4 linked regions of the Caenorhabditis elegans genome follow. The protein of the gene in region 1 purifies or fractionates together with the protein of each later gene. This does not show direct contact. Each region holds a gene or a part of one and is shown in the gene's direction. Other genes may lie near its edges. The genes, in order: cpg-2, T07F12.1, Y43F4B.10 and dgn-1.

What was found.
Region 2: the proteins of cpg-2 (region 1) and T07F12.1 fractionate together in Caenorhabditis elegans (co-fractionation; one large-scale study listed by BioGRID). This does not show direct contact.
Region 3: the proteins of cpg-2 (region 1) and Y43F4B.10 fractionate together in Caenorhabditis elegans (co-fractionation; one large-scale study listed by BioGRID). This does not show direct contact.
Region 4: the proteins of cpg-2 (region 1) and dgn-1 fractionate together in Caenorhabditis elegans (co-fractionation; one large-scale study listed by BioGRID). This does not show direct contact.

What each region holds. Positions count from the first base shown.
Region 1 is NC_003281.10:7,101,092-7,106,048, reverse strand, and holds cpg-2 (Chondroitin proteoglycan-2), read left to right. Parts: upstream 1-2,058; 5' UTR 2,059-2,062; coding exon 2,063-2,129; intron 2,130-2,172; coding exon 2,173-2,514; intron 2,515-2,557; coding exon 2,558-3,244; intron 3,245-3,290; coding exon 3,291-3,566; intron 3,567-3,610; coding exon 3,611-3,813; 3' UTR 3,814-3,959; downstream 3,960-4,957. Other genes in the region: ZK418.11 (NR LBD domain-containing protein), read right to left, coding at 4,124-4,368, 4,907-4,957.
Region 2 is NC_003284.9:4,891,807-4,897,552, forward strand, and holds T07F12.1 (Steroid-phosphate phosphatase), read left to right. Parts: upstream 1-2,248; 5' UTR 2,249-2,254; coding exon 2,255-2,355; intron 2,356-2,399; coding exon 2,400-2,518; intron 2,519-3,519; coding exon 3,520-3,618; intron 3,619-3,681; coding exon 3,682-3,792; intron 3,793-3,835; coding exon 3,836-3,964; intron 3,965-4,092; coding exon 4,093-4,385; 3' UTR 4,386-4,825; downstream 4,826-5,746. Other genes in the region: T07F12.2 (PA domain-containing protein), read left to right, coding at 48-186; T07F12.4 (Protein kinase domain-containing protein), read right to left, coding at 4,954-5,163, 5,287-5,456, 5,504-5,646.
Region 3 is NC_003281.10:13,312,292-13,315,915, forward strand, and holds Y43F4B.10 (uncharacterized protein), read left to right. Parts: upstream 1-1,776; 5' UTR 1,777-1,780; coding exon 1,781-1,834; intron 1,835-1,894; coding exon 1,895-2,037; intron 2,038-2,146; coding exon 2,147-2,276; 3' UTR 2,277-2,430; downstream 2,431-3,624. Other genes in the region: slc-36.1 (Amino acid transporter transmembrane domain-containing protein), read left to right, coding at 1-28, 555-661, 728-859; dph-7 (methylated diphthine methylhydrolase), read left to right, coding at 2,843-3,122, 3,168-3,262.
Region 4 is NC_003284.9:10,925,488-10,931,219, reverse strand, and holds the start of dgn-1 (Dystroglycan 1), read left to right. Parts: upstream 1-2,221; 5' UTR 2,222-2,324; intron 2,325-3,400; exon of another isoform or gene 3,401-3,605; intron 3,606-5,732.

The sequences.
Region 1 (4,957 bases):
AACTTCTAACTTTTCGTCGAAAGTTCGATTGGCTGAACAATCTGGTTACTGGAGATGAGAAGTGGGTGCTCTATGTTAACCGTTCCAGTTAACGTCAATGGCTTCCGATCGGTGAGAAAGGAATACCGACGCCAAAGCCTGATCTTCACCCAAAAAAGATTATGATCTGTGTCTGGTGGGGTGTTCAAGGACCCGTGCACTGGGAATTGTTGCCAACTAATAAAACTATCACTGCTGATTACTATTGTGCCCAATTGGACCGAGTTGCAGAAAAGACCAACGGAAAATATGAAAAACTATATTTTCTTCACGATAATGCTAGGCCTCATGTCGCCAAGAAGACTTTCCAAAAGCTGCAAGATCTTGGTTGGACTGTTTTACCGCATCCACCATATTCTCCAGATCTTGCACCAACCGACTACCATTTGTTCTTGTCTCTCAGTGACTACATGCGCGACAAGCAATTCGACGACGAAGAGCATCTCAAAACTGAACTCTCCACTTTCTTCTCATCGCGTTCGCCGGATTTCTTCTCCCGTGGCATCATGATGTTACCTAGTAAATGGCAACAAGTGGTGGACACTAATGGTGAATACTTGTGTGAATAGTACTACTTGTCGCTTGAGAGAAATAAATTTTTTTCAAAAAAAAAATAGTACAAAAACTTATGGGACAACCTGATATTAAATAGAACTGTATATTGCCACTCCATGTCCCCAAATGATACTGTTATCCAAAGAATGACAGAATGTGCAAAAGTGGTAAATAGTAGCTGGGACGAGTGAGGGGCAAATTGAGCAGTTCGTTCATTCCCAAGCTCATAAAAAGGAAATGCGCACCTGCAGATCTCTGCGCCTCTGAATGGGTACACGGTCTTTATAAGGTGAACCTAATCGAGAGAGAATTTTTATTATAACTTTTTTTGTGTTTTTCGAAATTGAAAATTACTATGAAACGGAAGGAAACTAAGGGGATAAATCGAATGTGAGCATATACAGAGAAACAGAGGAAAACTCTCGATGTGGGTTACTGTATCAAAAAGTATCCAGAAGGTCATCTCTCTCGTCGGCTTACGAAATTTACTTTAAAATTGCGGGGAATTGTCAATTCACATATAATAAAAAGAAATTCGAAAAAAAAACAGTGCAATTTTGCTGAAAACCAGAAAACTACAAAAAAGTGGGCGTGGCCTAGAAGGGCATTTGAGTTTTTTTGAACAATTGAAAAAAAATTAGAAAATATTAAAACTTTTGTAAATTTTTAACAGTAATGTTCGGAGATTGACCTATTTTCTTTAATTTAAAGAAAAAAGCCAAAAAAATAACTCGCTTGTTCAAAATCAGATATGAGCTCCCAAAACTTCTGTGAAGAAATTATAATCAAAAGCTGAAAATATCTGGAATAATTTTATATAGTTATCAATTTTTATTGTCACGCAACATTAGTATACTTTTCACACGAAACGGGTGTTTTTTTTGTGAAAAATGCATGTATTACTTGTTCGCGAAAACTTTTTTTTCAGTGGGGTAATGAAGTCGATTGCTGATAAGAGAAAATTCCTTGGAAGTTTGGACATCTAATTAAAATTAAATATTTAATGTTAATTTTAACAGATTGATGTGAAATTTGAACACCTGAAAGTTAAAAATTGCACTAAAAACAAAAAACAATCAAATTTCAAATTTCGCGCGTCAATTTTTGAAGCGCAAACAAACGCGCTCCAGTGCTCATTTTTCAGTTTTGTAATTTTGAAAACATGATACTAGGCTTGTATTCTTCCTATTTTCTCATATTTTGATCTGTTTTAGCATTTTTTGACCTCCGGCGGGAAAATTCAAATTTTTGTTTTGTTTTGTTTTTATTTGTTTGCCAATGGTTTCGAAATTATCCAGCATTAGTCATTCATTTCATTTGTTTCAGTTGGTTTCTTTGTCATACGATTATTCTTGTGAGAGAATATCGTGCATGCAAAGTAGTTTAGTATTTTCTTTTATTTCTGACACTACCGTTTTTAAAAATTCAACTCTTGTTCTCTTTTCTTAAAGATCTTTATTTCAGGAGGATGAAGACGGTTGCCGCACTCACACTCCTGGCTTTTGCCACAGCTGCCAATGGACAGTTCCTTCAAGGTGCGAGTTTTGTCCAGATGCTTTTTTAACATTGACAATTCAGACTGTACAAACGCTCTCGATGGTCTTTACGCTCTTGGTGAATGCGAACCACAATTTCTGACTTGCTCGGGAGGTATCGCAAGAATCATGGATTGCCCAGCTGATCTCATCTACAACGAGCCACTTCTTATCTGCGACTGGCGCCACAACGTGATTGGTTGCGAAGGATCTGGAGAATCATCTGGTGAGACCTCAGGTGAAGGATCTGGTGAATCTTCCGGTGAGGCGTCTGGAGAAGGATCCGGTGAAGCATCTGGGGAAGGATCCGGCGAAGCATCTGGAGAAGGATCTGGTGAAGCTTCTGGAGAGGGTTCAGGATCCGGAGAGGAGACAGTCGAAAATGGTAAGTTAATTCAAATCATTCATCGATAAAATGTTTTTTTCAGTTTGTGAGAATCTCGAAGACGGGGCCTACTCATCAGGTGGTTGTACCACTTACTACTTCTTCTGTACAACAAACACGGCCCGTTTCCTCAGTTGCCCAACTCCACTCTTCTACGATGCTGATTCTCAGAAGTGCATCTGGAAGTCTCTTGTCGAGGAATGCAAGGAAGACCTGACCATCACCGATGGATCAGGGGAGACTTCTGGTGAAGGATCTGGAGAGGCTTCTGGAGAAGCTTCCGGGGAAGGATCAGGTGAAGCATCTGGAGAATCTTCTGGGCAAGGATCAGGTGAAGCTTCTGGGGAAGGAAGTGGCGAACTCGAGCCAACATGCGAAGGAAAAGCTGACGGAATCCATCCAAATGGAGTTTGCTCAACCAACTTCCTCACTTGCTCTGGTGGAATTGCTCGCATCATGGACTGCCCAGCTTCTCTCGTCTTCAATCCAACAATTCTTGTTTGTGACTGGCCACGGGACGTCGCTGAATGCGCTGGACTTCCAACTCCACAGCCAACATGCGAAGAGGACGGATACTTCTCATTCGGACAATGCTCATCGTCATTCACTGCTTGCACTAACGGCCGTGCCATCGTCATGTTCTGTCCAGCAGGACTCAAGTTCTCCGAGTCTACCGTACGTTGCGACTACGAGTCCAATGTTTCCGAATGCCAAGAGACGTCGGGTGAAGGTACGATCGTTTTTTACAGTTTCAAAATTTTATTATCTTTTTTCAGAATCTGGAGAAGCTTCCGGTGAACAATCTGGAGAAGGATCTGGAGAGGCTTCTGGTGAGGCCTCTGGTGAAAGCTCAGGAGAGGGATCCGGTGTGGAAGAGCAAAATCAATGCGTTGGACTGGACAATGGACTTCATGCTATCGGATGCTCTCCACGTGTTCTCTCTTGCCAGAATGGACACGTTGATATCTTCGAGTGCCCATCCAGCCTGGTTTTCAACGATCAATCTTTGATCTGCGATTACCCACAAACATCGTTGAAATGCCTCATCGAAGGTGAATTTGTCTCATAAATTAGCAACCCTAAATGTTTATTTCAGACACTATTCTCATTGATGAGACTCCAATTGCTGCATTCGACTGTTCCACTGACGGCCTCTTCTCCGATGGCCTTTGCTCTGCCACTTATCATCAGTGCACTGCCGGACAACTCATTAACTTCACTTGTGCCGCGAGCAACGCCGTCTTCTCAGCTGCCAACACCGAGTGCGTCGACTCATCGACCCTGCTTCAATGCCATTAATTGTACCCATTTTTTTTACAAAATTACACACTAATTGACTAACCCCGTGAAAAACTATTGCCCCCATAGAGGCCCCATATTATTGTAAACTTGCCTGTATATATTGCATTTTTCATATTGAGAAATGAAACTGCCTGACTAGAACTCTGAATCTTAATTTTTTGGCTTTCATGAGATGCTGGGTGATTACTGTAGATGATCTTTTATTACTCGAGGAAAAGTTTGAGGGTTGAATGAATAACAATGCAAGTTTGAAAAGGGGTGGGTACCCACGTGGGATAGTTTTAGATGAAAAAGTGCCACTCTAGCTTTAGAGAGATTCTTTGACAAGCTTTCTCAATGGCAAAGTGGGTTGGTTCAATTGGAATAATGTAAACAGTTGTGCAAGATCTTCTATTGTTTTCTCGATCAGCTGACTCAGAAATATAATATTTAAGTATCTTATTCGTCCGTGTTTTTGAAAACGGAAGTTACAGTTAATACCAAGTGTAGACAGGTAGATGCTCAGATACTCCTCAATAATTCGTTTCGCAGAGGAACCAACAAGCATAGAAGCTGAAAAATATTGACGTTTATGGTTAAATACAGAGTACTAGTTGTAAGGGTAATTTATTTATTAGATTACTGCGTTTTTTTCACTTCTACGACTTTAAAGGGGACGCTTTTATGCGGAATAGTCTCGACACGCTCCTACACTTTTACACTTATACTGTATTTATTATATTTATTAGGATATCGCCACGAATATCAGGTGTGTGCCTTTAAAGAGGTACTGTAATTTCAACCGTTTATTGCTGCGGAGTTTTTATTGATTTTGTATTGTTTTCTAGAAAATATTTTCTTTCCCTTTTGTTAAAGTGTATATGTTTTTATTGTTAGATTTGAGTTTTCAAAAACATATTTTTATTGTAAAAATAGGAAAAATCTATGAAAATTCTGCAGCATCAAAAGTTTGAAATTACAATACTCTAAAGACACACACCGTTTTGAATTTTATACAAAATTTGTCGTAACGAGACCAGACATAGTTTATTTGGCACAAAATCGGAATATTTCGTGTCTGAATAATATTGAAAAGTGTTATGTAACTTACATATTTGACAGAAATACGTAATAACCATCAATAAAAACTCCTCGGTTGTGA
Region 2 (5,746 bases), on another chromosome or scaffold:
GTTACCTGCACTAGGCTCTGTGAAGAACAATTTATATCATTTTTCAGACGCTACTTCCGTGACCACCTCGAAGAGGGAGGAACCATCAAGTTGGACATTCCAGTCGAGAGGAACTATGCACCATGGGTTCATCACCAGAAGAAGGCTCCATGGGAGATTTGGCCAGATGAGGACCATTACTTCTAAATGAATCCTCTCAAAGCTTTAATAGTGACAGTTCAATTATCATTTCGGTTCTTTCTAATTTTGTGTTGTGATTTCCGACGTTTTGCCTACGGTGTCCCCATTCTGTCTCAGCTTTCCTCATTTACATGTCATTTTTGCATATTCTTTTTTTTATTTTTTTTTCTTCACATCAAAAATCTGGTTGTAACCTAATATTAATATTTCGTTATTTCTCTTTCACATACTTATCCTCCCGAGACATTGGATTCCGTATCGCCCACGGGTTATTCCTCCCCATTGGTTTTTCCCATTCCCGTTGTCTATGACAAAGTTGCCATTACAATGAATTTTTCAATATGTATGTTTTGAAATGGTGTAGATATGAGAAAATGGAACACCAGTGTCCTATGCTCTTTTCACTTTTTGTCATTTGTCAAATGCGGTGTGGCTATGGAGCACCACAAGCACTAGAGAAAGTTTTTAATTCTTTAGGCAAATAAAACTCAGCAAGTCGACCGCTTTCATTGTCTTTTTCTTCCGTTTCCTCTCACTGCTTTATATATCCATCATCCATAGTTAGTGACATAGAAAACGGTTTTTGACAATGAGTCACCGAGATTTCAAATCGTATTTCTTTTAACAGTGCTGCATTGGGATTTTACTTTAGTTTTTTTTAGTTATGTTAGTTGTTTTCTGAGTTTTTTTTAATTTCTATGTGAAACGGGCTTTGCAAATTTTTCAGACGCTTTTCTGGAAAACCTGATTTTGCCCTAAAGCCCTAAAATTTGATTCTTTTTGCGTTTGTTGATAATATTTTTAACTGAACAAAAGTCGGAAAATTTCACAAATTTTGAATTAACGCACACAGTATTAAAAAAAAAATTACAAAGTTATTAGAGCTCAAAACGCTGAATTACCAAGACAGTGCGCTAATTATTACGAGAATTCATATATAAGGAAAAAATACGGAAATAAAAGTTAATTGTGTTCCCATCTGATAACTTTTACTTTTCTTGAATAGTTTACATTTTTAAAATAGTTATTTTCGACAGAGTAAAAATAATTTCCCACTTAAATATTTTTTTTCAAAGTTTGCCTTGCTCAGCATTCATAAATAGATAAAAATTGCGCAACTTTTTCGCAAACGAAATAGGTTGAAGATATTAGTTGCACCCTATATAATTTTTGTGAAAGAAAAGTTTCGTAAAACCTTATTTAATTAATTAATTTAAAAAACATTTCCAATCAAATAATAATTAAACTTGCCAAAAATATTCAGATTTTTCAAACTTGTCGTGAAAGTTTTGGTAAATTTGGCTTTTTAAAAAAATTTTTAGAATCCAAACTTTCTGAATGCAAATAAAACTTTGTCAAAAATATTTTGATAACTATTTGCTCATTTTAGTACTATAAAACGGTTTTCTTTGCGTTTAACATGTTGAAATTTTGTGATTTTGCGAAATAAACAACTCAAAAAATAATTTCTAAAAACTAGTCAATTCAAAATATTTCCCACATTGGCACTTCCATCAAAAAAATGTCTTTTGAATTTGACTCAATTATGTTGCGCTCGTTAGATTTCGGTTTCTGTTCAACACACACCATTTTTCCATTTTAGCGAGGTCAAACCAATTTTTCGTTTCAAAAATTTTGATGCTTTTACTTTTACTACTACGTTTTATTTTGTGACAGACAGTTGCAAAGTGGAAAAATATGTCTCTTATCACTCGTTTTTGATTGCGCTATTATATGTAGGTTTAAATTCTATTGTTCACAATTAGAGCGTGCGACGGATTTTTATTGATCGACCTTGAGGTTCTGTCAATTGTTTGAATTGTGTCTTATACTGGTTGTAGAATTTGCTTGTGAAAGTTATTGGCACGCATCCAAATTCAGGTTCGATTCCACTGTTTTCTCCGTCTTTCTTTCTCTACGTTTCTTCAGCAATCATCACTCTCTAGGCGCTTGCGCATCTCTATTTCTGTTGTTTCTCCTATCGTATTTCTCTTTTCAATTTCATTTCATTTCATTTTGCATATGAATAATATTATATAAATATACTTTTCCATTTCGTTTGTATTCCAGATAAATGCCCGAGCGGAGAGTGTTCATTATCCGTCATGGTGAAAGATGTGATTTTGCATTTGGCAAGTCAGGACTTTGGATCAATTCATTTGACAGCAGAGGAAGGTAAACGTTATTTTAAGCATTCTAGAACAAGTTTAAGTCTGTAGATATCGCCCGCTTGACATCAATCTTCCCCGAACTCTTCCAAAACGTGCCGATGGATGGCAAGGTTTTGCTGCCGACACCCCGTTGACTGAAATTGGTTATCTTCAATCAAAATTGACAGGTAAACTGAAAATTTGCAATTTATTTGCAAAAATAACAATTACAATTTTCAAGTTTATTTCAATAATTTAGATAGATTATTTTTTGAATTTCATAACAAATTAAGTTGTTTGAAATTAAACCAGTTGCCAGTTGGAAAATTGTTTAGAGCCATAGCAATTTGATTTAGGCTGTTTAAGAAATCTTTGAAATTTCCTGAAAAATCAAAAAAAAACCAGCAATTTCCAAAATGACCAATTTTTGAAAAACAATTACTGAAAGTATGCAATTTTTACATTTTTAGTTTTTATAAGATCTCGAAGAGTTTTCCGAAAAAAGTGATTAACAAATAACTACAATTGCGAATTATGCCAAATTCAATTTTTTAAGTTTCGAAAAATTTCGGCAATTTCGGCAGCTAAAATTTTTGACCGCGTACCTTTTGTTTCACAGTTATCATAGTTCTGAAATTCAACTTTAAAAACATGTTTCTGCAAATTTTATATTCCAATGCAGTTTCATTAAATGTGCATTTTTATTCGAACTTATACAAAACGTCATTTCATTTGAATTTTGGCTATTGTCTTGTACAGAAAAATGTTGAAAAATATGGAATTTGTTTAAGAGCTTTAGTTGGTTATATTGAATAATTATAAGAACTATTAAAAAACAAATCATTATTAAATGCTCAAAAACACAGTTAAAATTTGAAAAACTTGAATTTATTTTTACATATGTTATTCGAGAAAGTTTAGGTATTTTTTTGAAAATGTATTTCAATTCGCACAACGTTTAAATAAAAATAATTATAAAAACATTTAAAATTACAAATTTATGAAAGATTTTATAAATCGTAAAAACAAGAGCTTATACTGTTCTTTGGTTTCTTTTCCACATCATTTCTAATACTGTACTGTATTTTAAATAGTTTTTTTTTTCAAAAAATAACTTTATTTTCAGTCAGAATTTGTCTAAACTATTATCTATTATGTTCTTCATCAACAAGACCTATTAATTTTTCAGGACGAGCATTACGTGACAATGGAATCGAAATCAACCATGTTTTCTGTTCCCCGGCTTTGAGGTGCATCCAAACAACAGTTGGTCTATTGAAGGGAATGGGTACGTCATGTTTCGATGTTTCCCGCAAGACAACTGACATCACTTAAAATAAACATGTTCTAGGTCTTGACAAGCGAATTCAGTTTTCCGTTGAACCTGGGCTTTATGAGTGGATGGTATTTGCAAGGTACGCAAGACCATGCTGGATTCCGCCAAAAGATTTGAAAAAGCTTGGTACGTATGCTCGGCGTTTAATTCCAATACTAAAAATGTTCAGGCTACCCTGTACAAGAAAACTATGTACCATGTTGGACGGATAAGGAGCTTCGAATGAATGAAACCTTAGCAGATTTCTATCAAAGATCGTTTGGTTCTATAAACAAAATTTTGTCGGAATGCACAGAAGGTGATTTCTTTTCTCAACTTTTTGACACTAGTGATCAATGTGTATTTCTCGTGATTTTCCTGTCTATCACCCTATGAACTTTCTAGCTTCTACATCTCATAAAACGTCACGTTAAATGTATATTCCAGGAAACATTCTCATTGTGGCTCATGGTGCATCACTCGAAACATGCACTCGGCAGCTGGTCGGCGGTGATATCAGATCAACTGACGATTTCTACTACCTACTTCAAAACACACCATACTTGTCGTGTGTAGAAGTGAACTCTCGAGAAGGATTATGGAGACTAGTGGGCAGCCCGATTCCGTCGTTTTCACACACGTACAATCGCACTTTTGATCCATTGCAGCTCGTCACAAAAGATTTGGCCTCGCTGAAAAGAGAACGAGAGGGAAAAGACAATATGAGGACCACTCAATAATCTTTTTGATAATTTGTAAGCCGAATTAATTTTTCTACGGTTCTGAATGCTAACATTTTTGGCGGGAGTTCTTTATTCGAATTTATGTAAATTGAAAGTCTTTAACTTTGAGCCTAACTTTTTATTGCCAGTGGGAATATTTTTCAAGTTTGCTTTTATAATGCTAAAATCTTTTTTAAAAAATATTTGAAATGACTCGATGTGGAAAATTTGAAAATTTACCATAATTTTGTCTGAAAATTTTTTGAAGATGTGTTATAATATTTAGTCAGTTTGGTCTATGGTCTCAACTGACGGTTCTCCGGCCTTTGATTAGTTTGGTTTTTCTTCAGTTTATCACCGACGTTGTTCATGATCTCAACTTTCTCCTGTTTTTTTATTCGATTCATATTCAAATTGTTATACTTTCAACTAATAAATCATTTTATTCGACAATCAATTAACATTCTGTGAACTTCGAAACCCGAAATTTGTTTTCTCTTTTCAAATATATTTCAATGATAGATCTACTTGTAGAGATATGAGATAACTCTTTGTAATGGTTAAACATTTAAAAAAAAAGGATCGGCTAACATATTTGTTGACTCCAGTTGATTGCTTTGTCATAAAACTGAGTAGGTGTGCATCTTTGAGTGGTATCGAGCTGCAGCAGTGATTGAATAATCCCCGAAACCTCTTGACTCAGCTCGTCGGGCAGCTCAGGCGGGTCGTAGGCGTCGAAGTTAGCCCCTGCCACATACAGGAAGAGCTTACACAAACTGCACTCATCGAATGGGACCTGCAAAAGAAAAATTGTGAATATGAAGTTATCTACGTCATTCTTCCACTTCAACTGCGAAGCCCCTGGGGAGTTATTTGCGTTTTTGTTCTTGGAAAAACTTTAGGGTTCGGAAGGACTAACCTCTCCTGTAACGCATTGGTAGAGAAGGCATCCGATGCTCCACATATCAACTTTTGAGTCATACTGACAAGTTTTTAAAAGGTTCGCTCCAACTTCTGGAGCCATGTAATAAAATGTACCCGCAACGTTGCACAGCTCTTCTCCCTCGTTATCAAGGGTTCTCGAAATTCCTGAAACAAGAAATGAATTAAATTACGTAATGAGTTCCAAAACACACCAAAGTCTGTGATCCGAGCACAAGCAATTTGTTTCGATGCATCTGTATAAGTGATCAGTATGTTTTGGGGTTTAATGTCCCGATGTACAATTTTCAACTCATAAAGCGCTTTGTATCCTCGGGCAATGTTGTCAAGAAGAAGCCTGAAGTGATTTCTGTTTGAAAGTTGTAAAAAAGTTTTGAGGAAGACATGCTGAAACTTCCTTATCCTAGCCCTCTTCCCTAGTTCCTGTTCCGTATTCT
Region 3 (3,624 bases), 6.2 Mb from region 1:
GCCAGATATTCCGGAGTTATTTTGACTTGTAAGTTTCAAAAAAAAAATATTATTCGCAAAAATTATTTTTTTTTTCATTTTCCGTTTAAAAAAATCTAAAATTGACCTAAATATCGATAATTTAAGTTTTTTTGTTGCGGAAAAATTGTGTTTCAAAAATAATAATCAAATAATAAGTTTAGAAAAAAATCATAACAAATTTAGAAAATTTTAATAAATTTTTAAACAGTTATATTTGGTAAATTGAGACTTTTTCTGACATTTTTGATCAAAAAAATAAAATAATTGGTCTAAAAATCGATAATTATACATTTATTTAAACTTTTTTCGCAGAAAATTGTGTTTCAAATCGATAATGAAATAAAAATTGAGAGAATTTCGGTAAATCCAGACTTTTTCTGAGACATTTTGGAAATATACTATAAAAATTGCACATAAAAATCAAAGGTTTTTTTTCAGGTTGATATCAAATAATTAATTTAGACGAGAAAAAAATTATATAAAAATTTAGAAAAAAACTGATTTTTTCTAATTTTTTGAAAAAAAATTTCCAGGTGCAATAGCTGAGCTTATTCCTCATTTGGCTCTTTTCATCTCATTAATCGGAGCATTTTCTGGAGCTTCAATGGCTCTTCTCTTCCCTCCGTGCATTGAACTTTTGGTAGGAATTTTTGAATTCCAATTTTTTTAAATTAATTAAAAATGAAAAAAATTGAATTTTTTTCAGACATCCTACGCGAAAAACGAGTTGAGCACTGGATTATGGATCAAAAATATCGTTCTTCTCACTTTTGCCTTTATTGGATTCACAACGGGAACCTATAGTGCACTTATCGAAATTGCAAAAACTTTTGCATAGATTTAAATATCTATAATATTTAAATATTTTCAGCGTTTTAGCTGGAAATTCCCAGAATTTTATTGCACCTTTATGGAATTTTTTGGAATTTTTTTTTGTATATTTCGTGTCCTTCCTTGTCGGTTGTTCAATTTGTGATGATGATTTTTTCATATTTTTGCGGCATTTTTTTTTCATTTTCGTTTCATTCCCGAATAACATGTACTATTTATTTTGTTAATAAAATTCGAGCTTCTGTGAATATTTTTTATCGAATTTTTTGAAATATTATTTAAATGTGGTATCAATTTTAACCAATTTATTTAAATATCTCGATTCAATTTTATATTACCCAGCCGCAAAATTTTGCAATTTTCACACTAAAAATACGGTACCCGGTCTCACAACGACAATATTTTGTTAAATACAAACGGGCGTGCACCTTTAAAGAGTACTGTAGTTTCAAACTTGTGTTGCTGCAAATCATGAAATTCCGTACGTTTCAACAAAAGTTTGAAATTACAGTACTCTTTAAAGGCGCACACCTTTTCCGCATTTAACCAATATTTGCCGTGGCGAGACCGGGAAAACCGAAAAATTGGAAAAATGTTTAGAAAATTAACAAAAAAAACTATTTTTTATCAAATTTTATTTATGTTAATGAGAACAAATCATAAGAAACAGATAGTTTTTCTCTAAAAAGAGGAAAATTATATTTTTCCAAAAATCCTTTTTTTTTTCAAAATTTCGACAAAACAAAATTGTTTGGTTTTTCGATTTCTCAAAAAAAAATATCGTAAAAATAACCGCCAAAATCCTAAAGCAAATGTGCTCCATTGAAACGTGTTTTGAAAAGAGACGCAGAGAACGGTGGTGTTCCCGTTCTCTGTATTTTTATTGATTTCTCGCAGTAATTCATTCAACCTATTTTGTTTTAGAAAAATGGCGACACAAGAAGATCTTCAAACGCTTATCTCAATTGTGCCGAATCTTCAGGTAAAATATTTAAAAAAAAATCTAAATATACAATTTTAATTGAAAAAATAATGATTTCAGATGCAAGAAGGCACTCCTTATTACGAAGTTCTGCTCAAGTTGATCGAAGAAATCGGGAAAGACGTTCGTCCAACATATACATTCAATAAGTTGACCTGTGAACGGTTGAAGAGGAATATTCAAGCGGCAAAAGTTCTGATTAGGTAGGTTTTTGAGTTTTTTCGTCGATTTTCCACTCGAATTATAAGTGTCGATCAAATATTTGATCGTCATAATCGAGAAATCAATTGAGAGAAAAAAAATCATTTGCAGAGCGTGTCAACAAGAGGCCGAAACAGACAAAAAAAAGGCAGACGCTGCGATCGAAGCACAAAGAGTTGCGCAGAAATCAGAGACTCCGAAGCCTGAAGAGACATCATCGGAGGCCGCCTCGAAGAATTAATCTTGCTTTTTTATATATGTATTTCAAATTGTATTTATTTTTACCATTCCTGCAAACTGGAAACTTTAATTTTTTTGCTATAATTTCCATCACGATCCTCATGGGTTTTAAATTATTCCCAATATTTTTTCCATGAATATGTGTCTTATTCCAATCTCAATAGTTCACCAATGTATAGACTCGAAATTTGGCGGTTTTGGAGCCAAAACGGCGGTATTTGGTCTCGACACGACAATTTTTTGGTTAAATACAAACTAGTGTGCGCCTTTAAAGAGTACTGTAATTTCAAACTTTGGTTTTTGTAAAATTTTTATCGATTTCTTAACGTTATTCGTTAAAATAATACTTTATTTCTAAAAAACTGAAAATTCGATGAAAATTCCACATCACGAAAAATTTTGGAATTACAGTACTCTTTAAAAGCGCACACCTTTTCGCATTTAACAACAAATTGTTTCGTGTCGAGACCGGACACCGTATTTTTGACGAAAAATTGAAACATTTTACGTTTGAAAACCGCATTTTTAGTAAATTTTCAAAATTACAAATTTTTTGAGCTCATTTAAATGCGATCAAAAAGTGTGAAGCTGTCAAATCGCCCAGCATTTGCTCGTCGGATACCATCAGAGGACACATCACGTGCTTGCGTATCCACGTATCTTCTCGATACATCTTCAGACACTCGATCCGGCTCACTGTGCATTTTGAAGATTGATGAAGCCGACGGGCTACAGTTGGAAAATGAGATTAGCACTTCTGCTGGAGTGTTTCGATTCGATTTCCGAAATCCGTCGACGATAGTTGCAGCGCTAACCGATGGATCACTAGTGGTTCAGAAAATTGAAGGTTTGAATTGTGCCTGAGATTTCAAATGAGCAGGACGATTTTCAGAACCTGTATCATCCGAAACTACACCTGTATCGTCGGATATGCTTTTGGATTTGGGACTTTCGGATTCTTCCCTCACTATTACAACTGACAACAAAGTACTGTGATCTCGCCGGTATTATAGTAGTAGTGGTGCAAAGCACCACCAGAAGGGCGCCATGGGCGTCCATGCCTCAGTGAGTTCCTCCAGGGTAGTAGTAGTAGTAGTGGTGCAAAGCACCGCGATGGATCCGTGGAGGTCCTTGGATCATTGAGATCCGCCTGGATCGAAAGTTCTGGTGGGGAGGCCCAGTGCCTCTGCCACCTTTTTCGGAGTGAGCGGGGGTTGGATAGAACATCTCAGCATGTGTTCCACATTCCCTGTGACATCGCCACACTTCTTGCAGGCTGGCACCGTGTCGTTGTTGATTCTCGCGAAATAGCTTGGGACCATGGTTGAGTGACCGCATCTGATTCTGGC
Region 4 (5,732 bases), on another chromosome or scaffold:
TATGACAAAAAATTATTTATCTGAAGTTCCGCAGGATCGGAAAAATTATGAGCGTAATTCCATTAGTTAACTAAATACAACGAGAAATTAATTTTTTATTATTGTGAACCGACCAAATCATATTATTTAAACGTTTCACTTAAATTATCTTCATTAGTGGTCAATACAGGGACGTGAGCCTCATGTGGTCGTTTTTAGCCATTGTGACCATTGGCTATTTTCCTCTCATTCCACTTTTCTTCTTTCAAAATTGCCCCACTATTCATTTGATACTCTACAATTATTATTCTCATCGTTGCAGTCTACGAATCGGATCATATAATAGTGAGACATTTGGTCAAACTGGCTTGGTCCTCGTTTTTTACTCGCTTCACTCGGAAGGTCATTTTGCTTGCTTTTTGAATGCAATTGCAAGAAATATGAAACTATATCTTTGAACCACGCAATCTTTTTTTTTGTTTTGTTTCTGTTAATTGATGACCTTGAAGAAGTATAAGAATCTTTTTCAAAAGGTATTATTATGCAGTTATATCTAAACTGTAAATTTGAAAATTCAAAGTATCTCATATTCCTATATGTACCAGTAGTTTGTATTTTAAATTTCCAATTCAAAATTTTAATATGGAAATGATGTAAACACCATTCCGATTTTATTCCATTATTTTTCTCTCAATCTCTCACTCTTTTCAATTTTACTAGAAAACAGATTTTTATTCTTTCGAATAGAAAACCCTCTACCGTTCCTGACTCACCATTCTATCTCCTCACACACCACTTTCTACGACATTGCCTAACTTTTTGTGCGTTAAGTTTAATGTGCATTTGACCTTTATCAGTTACTCGTGTCCTCTTTCCTGTCTTGATATTTGATTTCAATCACCATCGAGTAATTAGTGTATTGGACACACATACCGAGAAACCACTAACAAGAAACGCCCTGATTTTATTTTTCCTTGAATAGCAGGACGGATCGTGTTAAATTCTAAATAACGTAGGACTGGAAAAATCACATTTTTATGACAACAGGGACTTTGTCGCAAAATTTAATTAGTTCTACATTTGGCCAGGACAATGATTACCGTGGCTTTATGATCAACAACATCTAGCGTGTCTTATCAAAAGCAAAAATTGTTGGAAATCCTAATTTTCTGTTTTGTTAGACTCTATTTTATTTCTTTTGAAAATCCATTACCGTTTTATGTTTTGAATAACTTCAAAATCAAACAAAACTACAGATTGATATTTGCAATCTAATATCTTCGTTTAAATTTCAACTTTTTTAAATGTGCTCTTCGAAATTAGTAAAAAATTTGTTTTATATATTTGCAAACTTCATATAGATATGAAAATATACATATGATAAAATGAAAATAGCTGTATTCCCTTGCCACGCATATAGACGGCGCATTCAAAAACTCATTGCACTCTGGTTTTTTTTTCAGAATTTTAATTACAATGGGGGTTATATTTCATGGGAAGAGCCTTTTTGAAACTCACCGCTTTTCTTCGCTCTATTGATATTTTTGATTTCCCTCTGCGTATGCAGAAAATAGTACAAACCACACTGACATTCATTGTAGTAACTCTAACTTTTATGCCCAAGAAAAGGCAAAAAAATGGTAAGAAAAACGTTTATGAAAGCTTTCTGTTTACCTACCTTGACCATTTTCTCTTTTTCCCCTATCCTCCAACGAGTGTACACACATTTTCGGGTATAATTCATCCGAATGGTTGGTGACAAGAAAAAAAAATGCTTCAAACTGTGTGCGTATGTTTTTCTTGTCAAAACCACATTCATAGTGTGTTATCAACAAGGAGGGATGCAACAAAAGAGAAAGCGAATTTTCCAGGTTGCATTCTTCATTTCGTACTTGCTATCTCTTTCCTCTGATAACCGTTTTTTCGGCAATTTCAATACCTCCTTGATTATATTTATGAGGTATGCAACTGACAGTGTTTCTTTTTCTCTTACGATATTTATTTTCACATCAAAACTATACACATTGCTAGCTTTTTTATTCTTTTTTGAAAAACCTATATTCATCAGATCTCAGAAGTTCCAATTTGAAAGTTTCTTCAATATGTACATTATCGTAAATTAGTCTGTCAACTGATACAAATCGCTTTTTGCCAAGTTTCAAAAGGACACCCCTTTTTGAAGTTTTCCGCTCCATTTCATGTCTTGAACGTATATGTTGCAAAAGTTACTTTCGATTTTCAGAACGACAACGTGTATTGAACCGAACTTGTGATTAGAATCGAAAACGAAATTTCAATTTGGCGCACCCATTTTTTAGTCCCGGCTTATTGATAAACACATAGAGGTGAGACTTTTTTTAATGCCAGTTTCGAACGCGTGCCCGGAAGTTTTTCGAGGCATTAAAAAAATTTTCCTATGTAACTAAACAATTCTTTTAGTCTTATAAAATGTTTTACTAAATCTCGTTTCCTGATATATGTAGTTTTGTACACAGAAAACGAGATGTTTTCTTTTGTATTTGCCTGAAAAACTTATTCTGCTTCTTGGCACAAATCCAAAAAAAGCGGCGTCATGTTTGTGCATTCAAAAACACTTCAAAGGTGTACGAAGCCACAAATGTTGTGACTACTCATATGTGTACAGAGATAGGTGTTTCAAAAAAAATTTTCGTACGACTTCAGAGTGACGTCCTTATTTTGAAACATTCACTTAACTCGAAAACATCCTGGTTTTTAGGTATTATATGAATTGTCTGCTAGTTTTTTTTTTTCGAAAAACCGAGTTTTTTCTCTAAATAACCTAAATCTTAACAAAAAATGTTGTTTTCCGTTCTTCACGTTTTTCGGTTTTTCAATTTTGCGGTGTGGGTCAAAAAGCCGAAAAACCCAAAAAATCGAAAAAAAATTAGGGTCCAGTTTGAAAAAGTGCAATTTATGTATGTTGTTTGTATGAAATAGGGCGTCATCAGTAATAAAAATATTGCATTCTGTATAAAAATACCGATTTTGGAGTGTTTTCAGAATTTGTTTTTGCAGTTTTCTCAAAAGCGAAAATTTCCGTTTTTCAGTTTTTTGAAGAACCAAAAAATCGAAAAAAGTTTTGGCGCACATAAAATGTTTTGTTATTCTCAAAAAATTTCGTCCCTACTAAATTTTACTCAACAATGTTCGTCTTCGCAATTCTCAAAAGAAACAAAGTGGCCCAAGATCTTACGTCAATCAAAACATTCAAAAGACTAGAATAAGAAGGCCCACTGTTTTTATAATCTTGTTTTTACACTCACTTAGCAAATCCGGCACTCTTTGTTCGGTTGCTAATAAGGTGTCAAAGTGACAATTGAAACCCCTCTGAACTGACTCAATAAAAGATAAGATGGAAAATAAATCGAATCTCCGTTTTCAATATGTTTCGGTCGGTTTCTTCTATTTATATGCAAAATTCATTCGAGACACCATACCAAAAGCTCCCGTGGGAGCTGGCCTTCTTATGTCGGTCGGTTCATGGTCCGTAGGGAGTGTCGGAAGGACGGAAGACCACGAAGGAAACGTCTTTGTTTGTACGGATCGCTTATTTATTATGCAGATTGAATATTGGCCACCGCTTCGTTCTTCATCTGTGTTCGGCTTTATTAGACTGCTCAAATGTTGCATGCCATTTTCCTCCTCCTCTCTCTTCGTAGCCGTAACGTATCGCATGTCCATTTCTGATTAGCTCTCGTCATCCGTTCTTCTTTCATCCTTATAAATATCACCATCCGTCTTGAATTGACCAAGAAAAATTGTAATTGTTCCAAACGGACCCGCATTGTACGTCTGAACACCCAGTCATTAGGCTTATCTTCCAATCGTTGCCTCCTCGTTTGCTCCATCCTGCACACACCTGGCCACAGGTACGGTGACGCAACTTTATGAGGTTGAGCCGACCAAATAGGACCATCTCCGTCCTTCCCCACATTTTTCGCCTCTCACTTTATATGTTTGGTCAACAGGGCTTGCCTCGTGCTTGACCCTACCCATACGCACAACTTTCTCTTTTTTGCTGAGGAAACTTTTTTGACGCGGGGTTTTTTACTCGAAATCTACGCTATCCAAATCTGATTTCTGTCCAAACGTCCTTGTCCATTCCTTGACTCTTCTCAATTTGATGATATGTGATGGAATCGTGCCCCCATTTGTGTGCCATCTCTTCAACGCAGGAGCTCTTTTATGTCGTTACAAGCATCTGCTTCAACGCGCGCAGCTGCACACAGTGCCATTTCTTGCCCTCGTTGTCGCGTCAAAAGTATTGCACAATACGGATAGATTACATAAGGAAATCTGTATTCAATCAGATGGTTTACGATCTGCCCGGTGGTGAATAGATATTTTCAACAGCTTATGAGAAAATCGGCTCCAAATTAATATGAATACGGTCACATTGAATAACTGAATTTATGATCTAACATTTTGAATTAACTAAATTTGCACTTCTCTGATTATGCTTATATAGTTTAAAGATTTTACCGCAACATTACAAACTTTTAATCCTCTAGTCTGATAATGATTTATGTCCGCTTCATTGTGAGCGACCAAAAAACTTTAGCTTGTTCACAGGAGTGTGCTTCAGGAATTTTTCAATTAATCTCTTGTGATATCACTTTCTTTTTTTTTGCTCTTACACCAAATATTTTTTTGGAAAAATTGTCAAAATTGACTTAATGGAAGCTGGTGGCTGAAAAATATTTGAGGAATGATTCATGATTTACCGTTTCATTTTTTTATTAAAAAACAAAAGTCTAATACTTTTGGTTCCTGTCAACATGGGGATCCGGACAATGAGAATGAGACGAACGCGCTGACTACTAGCAGTCGAAGTACGAAACCAGAACAATAGGCGTGTTAGTCTCAGTTTTAGCAGTACGTTTTGTCTCCGGTGTTCCCGTGTTAGAAGTGTATACAATTACCCTTTGCACAGTGGCTGTCGATTCAAGCAATTCGAGAACGTTAAGCCAGGTAATCCATGCCTAATAGATGGCAAACGGCACCCATCATCATCCTCATCGTTCATTTAATTAGCACGTTCGTTTCATCTTCAATACGTTCCTCACTGGACGTTAATCCAACCAATTTCGCGCACGGAAAGGTGTCAGAACAATGAACTGAGACGATCATTTCTCACTGGGTTTTTGTGTGTTCTTTTTGTGAAATAAGGTAATCCTCAGTCACAGGTTGTCAACGGAGCACTAGTGTCAGTCAAATGTACACCTGCTCTCATTTTTCTCTTTCTTGTGTCACCATCTCGTCTCACGTCTTCAATCTTTTTACCTTCCGTATGTCCCACAGATTCCCAGGATTACCGCTCTCGACGACAATTATGCGATCTCGAAAATGTCGTGAGGGCATTGTTAGGCATATCTGAACAGCCTCAGTCGGTATTACCTTGTCGACGGCGCGCATCTTCGGAGAACAGTAAGAACTATATTTTGCGAGTTGTATGGGCCGCCTTTCGCCTAATTATGCTCGTATACATCGTTCTAATTACTATAATTATATTGTATTCCATATTTTATCCAAATGGCTAGTAGAGTTCTATACCCTTTCTTTTTATTATAGGAAAAATTGATACTTGAGAAAATGTAATTTAAAACTGAAGTTACAATAATATTTAGAAAATTAGTTTTACTCCTGCTCAAAATTCAACAATTTGAAAAATAAAAATATTTTATCTTCATAAATAAATACTATTTATGACTTGACTTGAAAAACGCATTCAT